2 linked regions of the Tribolium castaneum genome follow. Each later gene encodes a partner of the first gene's protein in a complex. Links are inferred from orthologs where the notes say so. Each region holds a gene or a part of one and is shown on either strand. Other genes may lie near its edges.

Region 1 (2,598 bases):
TAACAAGTGTATGAAATTGTAGATATTGGATTTTTTATTGAGGAAATTAGAGTAAGGATTATTTATTTCTGTTAGAGGTCCCGTGTGATAATTCGCTCAAAGTTCTGGATGATGGCTAACCTGTGTAGGTTGATAGTCGGTTCGCTTGCCCATCCGATTCCAGTACAGCCGCAGCAGTCTTTCCGTTAACTAAACCAATGTTCACACTCACAGCTTCTTCACCGTAACCTCTTGAGAAACACATTCAGATTACTGTTCTTCCCTAGAGACCGAACACACGTGCAGAGTTTTTATTTGTGGACATCCATACGTATTTCGCTGTTAGTGATATTATAGACTATGATTTTTTATACTTATTTATTTCTCATTTGTTACCCATACCCATCGGTTCGCATTGCCATCATGAATTAGCTTGTTTATGATTTAGGTTAGTCATGCCTCTGCATGTTGTTCATTATTATTGCTCACATTGAGCAAGTGTATATCAAATTCTATATTGAATGCTACGGAGACTTTGCATTTCAAGCTCCCGCCAAACACCTCAGCGCTGGCTCTCGAGTGCTCGCCACTCCCTCAATTACATAATTTCATTTAAGTTGTGTTTATTTGTATTGTAATATCACCATTCTTTATTGTATACCTTATTTAAATAAAGATGCAATACGGACAATTTTGTAACTGTATTTCTTGTTTGTATAAAATTCACTTTCTTATTATACATATCATAAATTATTTACAATATAAAATAAAGCTCGTATATACAGATAAAATGGACGCGGCGCTGAAACAGTTTCATAATACTGATGATACAAATCACAAAAAACAGTTTCAACACCTTTACACTTTAGTCCCGTTCTGTTGGCTATCGCCGATAGTCACGTGGGTCACAAAAGGCCCTCTGTGGTTACGGTTCGGGTGCCGGCCTTGAACGGGTGGTTGGCCTTGCCGAGGGAGGGAATTGGAGTTCACGTCTTGGTACATCACAGGCGGGTTACTATGGGGCACCGGGGGGTTCCCCCGACGGTTGTTAAGCATCGACTGGATACTCTCGTACTCGTAGAAGTTCGACACGGGACGAAGCTGGTTGTCGGTGCGGGTCTGGCGCTGGGAGTGGTACTGGTGCTGCTTTCGACTGATAAAAAATGTGACGTCACTAATTTAAAATTACAAACACTTTTTTTAAGTGTAAGGCCAAAGAGGACAAAACTTAAAATCTAAAAGACAAATATTTATTTAATTATTACAGTATTTGCCGCGAGTGTAAGAAAAGCGGAAATACAGAGTGATCTAAAGAGACTGTTTCACACTGCAACTAAATACAGTTTTCCAATACTTTTTAATTGAAGCTATTCTTTTGTAATCAAAAGATAAATGGTTTAAACACATTCGACAGTGGATAGCTATTGAACTCATATTAGTAGGATATGAAGCGTAAACTATTTCTTCTATTGTTTTTTTTGAAAAGACGTAGTTTGATCTACATGTCATATAAATAAATTGTAGTACCACCAGTGGAAATAAAATGTTTGTTAAAAAAAAGAAAACATCGATAGACTGAGTCAATAGTCGGTTAGTTCTGAATTTTTTAAATATGCAACCAACAATACTGATTTAATTAATGTTTTGAAAAATCAAACAAAGTATCCAAGTAGGAAGTGCAATTAGTATTTTTGGTTGCATCTTAGGACATGTCAGAAATAACCCACTATTGACTCACCCTGTATACGCAAGTGATAATCTGAACTATGTCACAGGAACTGTTGTATTATTTGGTATCTTATTTTTTTTCGAAGTCTTCAACAATTCTAAGACCGAAGGTAAGTTTGTATCTTGCTATTTCATGTATTTTATTTGAATTTTTTACACTGACGGCAATCAGTCAATCTCCAGTAACTATAAAATTTATATTTTGCGCATTTTCATTTTAGGAAAATTTATTTTTGAACTCCTACTGAAAGCACAACAGAAAGGTAGCATAGTTACCTTTTTCGTTTTTCTTTTTGTGAATGAAGTTATTAAACAGGGGTGTCCAAATGATCAAGAAAATAGCATTATATTAGAAAGTGAAGTAAGCCCAAAAATCATAGTACTTCGGAATGAAAGAATAAAGAATACAGAGACTAATATTACACAGCAAGAAAAATCTAGTCAGCTGTGAATACACAATTACTTAGCCCATCCAAAAACTTCTGAAAAAAAAAAGGACCAACAAAAGAAGATACGAATTGAAAAAGACATCGAAAGAGGAAATTAAACAACAGAAATCTGTATAATTAAAAATTATTTGCTCAATCTGCCTAAAAGAAATACAAGGAAGGTTATTCCTAACATTTGTGAAGTATGAACACTTCTTTCACAACCGTTGTGTTCCCAGATGTCACAAGGAACACATTATCGATGATGAAAATCAAGACTTACAGCATCCCTATTATAGGGATGACAATAGTGAATGTTGGCTGGATAAGTTAATATATGTCGATGAGGAAGAAATAGAAGCAAAAAGTGATAAAACTAACGAAGAAGAAAAAAAAACTGATAAAGGACAAAATGACTAAGAGTGATCGTGATCGAGATGATTTATATGACGTGAATTATTAA
Region 2 (4,405 bases), on another chromosome or scaffold:
AAAATGCAAACTTTTAATTCTTTGAAGTCATTCAAAATTGAAGCTGCATCTTCACTCGTGCAACGACTCAGCTTAATTACGATATAGGCTAGCAGTTTTTGTAAAAGACTGTTGAATGTTTTCGGAACTTGCCATTGTGTTAACATTTTGCAAAGTTCAACGCTTGGGATTAACCAATTTTTTGGCATTTCGGATATTTCGGTGAAAACAACAACGTCGTCTGATATTTTGGTGAGAATATCGCTAATGCAGCAAACATTACGCTCATTTACTTCTTCCATAATAGTTGTGATTTTTTTTAACTGGAGGACGATTTTTTTGTATGTTTTTGTGGGAAATGGGTCAGGGTGAAGGTCAAGGCACAGGTTTTTTAAAGTCTCAGCCAGGCTCTTTTCATACATCATCCTAGAAGCATTTAAAACAAACAATTAAAAAAATTAAAATGTATGAAAAAAATGATTTGGACCAGTATAAGCATGGAAGTGGGAAAATTCTTGGAAAAATTTGGAGTTTTTCCGAGGTTAGAGATTGTGAACATGATATCATTTTCATTCGGTGGGTTTCGTTAGAAAACATAAAGTCGTATTCATTTGAACTGGAATAAGAGTAGGCTTTGATAATATAAGCGTAGAATAATAAATCATTTTGTAAATTTGACTCCGTCCATAAATCAGATATTCAAGAAAAAAGTTGCAGTTATTTTTGGAAAACTATTCAAACGTCGATTTTTTTAAATTTATTTAAATAAAAAACTAAGATAAAATTCGCAACTAAAGTTTAAATTTCTAAAGTTACCCATTATGCCATTAAAATGAATCGGACTTTAAGTTAATTTATGTGTTAAATATGTTATCAAATTTGGGCACTTACGTTGTTAATTTTTAATTAAATGTAAAAAAAATGTGGCAATAATTAATCACTTTCAATTAATTGACAAATTGATTGTGATCGATGCCTTCTAGATTATTGCGTTAAAAATGTCTTATGTTATTTACATTTTTGTTTTTAAATCACAAATGCTAGAAAAATGTAGGAAAATCGTTACAAGCAGGGTTGTAATTTTGAAATAATTAGTATATGAGTCGATAAATGAACTAACGGTGTGGATTATTAGTTTTGTCATATGACATAATAATCAATCGGTGGGTGTCATGAAGTCTCTGGTTGATTTTTGTATTTGCCCAGACCTCTATTCGCTTATCTATCGGAGTAGAAAAGAATTAATCAAACGCCAAATATTTGATTACTGATAAAAGGCTTAATATGACGATTCTTGAAATTTCGTGCAAATTCTGGGAACCATTTTCCACGTGACATTCCTTTTATAAAAGTCCCCTCATAAATATTAATTGTGATTGTATGTAAAGTCTTGTCTGTAGAATGTTCAGTCATCGTTTCGCAATCCTCTGAAATGTCACTAGCGGTGAATCGTAATTTTAATGAGAGAATTCGTCCGGAAATCGCGGTTTTCTTTCATTCATTCGCGTGAAATTATGAAATTCCCGGTCTTTTGCGCGCCCTCTATCGGAATTCTTGACACCAGTCGACGCGATGTAGTTGTCTACATTGACTGAATCTGTGTCGACAGACCGTGTAGTGCCGTAAAAAAGACAAAGACGTTTGAGTGTGGCAGCGATTTAGTCCGAAAACAGCCCCAAACCGGCTTTGAATCCCTTGATCGAGGTGCTCAGAGCAGCCCCGGCCTCCGAAATGGGGACGAGTGCGTGATGTCTATAATCAGGACGGCTGTGGAACGCATGTGGTGTGATTGTTCACCGGAGGCACTGTCCGTTTAAAGGGCCTCTAGAGGGGCTGCGCCCCGGGGGCTGACACAGCGGACACGAGGGTTCAATGGTAGGCACGCACGCCAGCGCACGAGCTATCAACATTTCGTGGACTTTTGCCGAGACTTTTTTATGGGGCTGTGCTCCAGCTGCGGCAAATCAAAGGACCGATTTAAAGGTAAGCCCCATGTTGGAGGGTTGGATACAAGAAACGCGCATCAGTGACATAATATTACCGAGATAACATTACCTTGAAGGTCGCAATATGTAAATAGTTCCGCTTTGGGTCGTGTAAACAGTCCTGCGCCCCGAACCCCCCCAAGGGTCGGCTCGCTCCTCTTCCAAAGGGTTGAAGGTCGCCGGACTGTTGCCGGGCCTGCGAAGGGCATCAACTATTCATGATTTAAATTGTTTATGCAGAGTTATTTTTAAACCATTTAATGGATAATTTAGGAAACTTTCAAGGCACGTTTCCTTCTATCAAATCGGTTTCAGTCATTCGCTCATTTTGGGGACAAAATTCGGCAACGATGAAACGGTTCATGGTCTTCTTGTGACATTAAAACGACGCGTTGTTGTCAAGTCGCACAAAAATAGCTCAAATTCAAATCGGGGATAATTTTAACACCCGCTTCCGGATTTGTTGACATATATCACGTGACTGTTGCTATTTTGACAGTTGAATATTATTATGTGTACAAAATTACGCAATTTAGGCGTCGCTTACTTATCGTCTTCCGGTTTTGATATTTGGGTCAACATTGATTTTTATTATAACATTACCTTTTTTTTATTAATTTTTTTAATTGTAATTGGTGCCAATGAACATGTCATAATAGTCATCACGCCTTTGTTCTGATGCAATAATGCAAGCGATTTTTTTTAAAGATTTTTCTTTGCTTTGTTGTGAAATTTGATCAAGTATTTTGAAATGTAAGCCAATGTGTGCTCATTGGTGCGAAATTACATCCACTGTTAAATATTTCCGTTCATAAAAATGTGAGCGAAATTAATTTAATGAGTAAATTTTATCTGCCGCATCGTTATCTATGATTTTGAGATATTGAATTATTAAAATGTGATACTGAGTACCTGTTACGAGAAAAATTAATGTAATACTCATTAAGTACTCGGCTCCGCCTCGGCCCAAAATTTACGATTTTTTTAAGTGTCTTAAATTGATTACTACAATTAAGATTAGCGTTTTTCGTTTTGATTATTAAGTTGCAGGTATAAAACGAGATGAAACCGACATGTCAACGGTCACGTATCATGTCCAAATATTTGCACAAATTGTAATTCCTTCTGTTTCCATTGATAATAAATTACCATTATCATCCTCCGTTTTTTGTATTTCGTCCAGATATTGCATAACCTCTAGACTTGTAATAAAGTGGGTAGAATACAAAATCGTAATAGTCAGACAGAAGGATAATAAAATAATGATAAGATAAAGACAAGTCCTTTTAGTGGGGGAGTACACTACATACTATAAGATTATACATATCTGCAACCGATAGAATTGCAATATGTAATGTTTTGTTCTCTCGCATCAGATAAATCGTCGAAAATATGTGGCCAACTACATTCAGTCGTTACACCCCTTCATGTGTCACATGAGCCCACAAGTTCGAACAATTTGAACGGGCATTTGCCTGTTCAAAATCACGTCAACGCAAGACCGTACTCTTCAGGTAATATGGCAACATCTTTCCCCAATATGAACATCACCAACCCTATACGGGGGCTGGTCAGCAAGAGGAGGATCCGATACAAGCAGGACGGGTTCAATCTCGACCTGACATGTATCCTTTTCAATGCTAAAAGAAATAATTCTGTTAGTACTGTTTTTAAAAGCTTTTATTTAATTAATGCTTTGTTGCCTGTGTTTCTGTTGTCCAAATAAACTGAAATTTTGCATACATACGTAATTTCCGTGACAATGCTATACTGTTTAGAGTTAATCACCCTCTAAGGGATTTTAGTGCAGATTTTAAATAAAAGCTTATTTTTAAAAATATTTTTTTAGTTACTTTCCTTGACTCGTTTGTAGACATAACCGATAGCATAATAGCAATGGGTTACCCGGCGTCCAACATCGAAGGCGTGTACCGCAACCACATCGACGATGTGGTGAAGCTCCTCGATTCGAAACACAACAACCACTACTTCATCTACAACTTGTGTTCGGAACGCACTTACGACACGTCCAAGTTCCACAACCGAGTACAAACCTTTCCGTTCGACGACCACAACCCGCCCAAAATCGAGTTGATTCAGCCGTTTTGTCACAGCGTTCACGATTGGCTGAGCAAAGATCCAGAGAACGTGGCCGTAGTTCATTGCAAGGCGGGGAAAGGGCGCACCGGGACCATGATTTGCTGTTACCTTTTGCATAGTGGAGCTTTTGCTACCGCTGACGAAGCCCTCGACCATTACGGACAAGCACGGACGCAAGATCACAAAGGGGTCACCATTCCCAGCCAAGTGCGATATATCCGTTACTACGAGACCCTGCTTAGGAACAAGTTGTTGTATGTGCCTGTGTCGATGTACATCAAGCAGATTGTTTTGGAGCCGGTGCCGAATTTTGCAGGAGGCCAAGGCTATGTGTGTTTTTC

The links.
Region 2: the proteins of partitioning defective 3 homolog B (region 1) and Pten are in contact, whole or in part, in an NMR structure (PDB 2K20), measured with the Rattus norvegicus proteins. The link is inferred for Tribolium castaneum from reciprocal best matches to the Homo sapiens genes PARD3 and PTEN. Residues at the interface, in NP_112514.1 of Rattus norvegicus: Ala599, Gly600, Leu601, Gly602, Val603, Ser604, Val605, Lys606, Gly607, Asn608, Arg609, Ser610, Lys611, His614, Lys622, Ile625, Met659, Leu662, Arg663, Met666; in NP_113794.1 of Rattus norvegicus: Asp393, Glu394, Asp395, Ser398, Gln399, Ile400, Thr401, Lys402, Val403.

The regions. Positions count from the first base shown.
Region 1 is NC_087395.1:16,312,712-16,315,309, forward strand, and holds the end of partitioning defective 3 homolog B, read right to left. Parts: intron 1,133-2,598; coding exon 838-1,132; 3' UTR 666-837; downstream 1-665. UniProt on the Homo sapiens protein: Adapter protein involved in asymmetrical cell division and cell polarization processes. Seems to play a central role in the formation of epithelial tight junctions. Targets the phosphatase PTEN to cell junctions.
Region 2 is NC_087399.1:159,309-163,713, forward strand, and holds the start of Pten (phosphatidylinositol 3,4,5-trisphosphate 3-phosphatase and dual-specificity protein phosphatase PTEN), read left to right. Parts: upstream 1-1,360; 5' UTR 1,361-1,916; coding exon 1,917-1,962; intron 1,963-2,034; coding exon of another isoform or gene 2,035-2,176; intron 2,177-3,340; coding exon 3,341-3,589; intron 3,590-3,817; coding exon of another isoform or gene 3,818-3,837; coding exon 3,838-4,405. Other genes in the region: uncharacterized protein LOC103314152, read right to left, coding at 1-405, 2,035-2,176, 3,818-4,220. UniProt on the Homo sapiens protein: Dual-specificity protein phosphatase, dephosphorylating tyrosine-, serine- and threonine-phosphorylated proteins.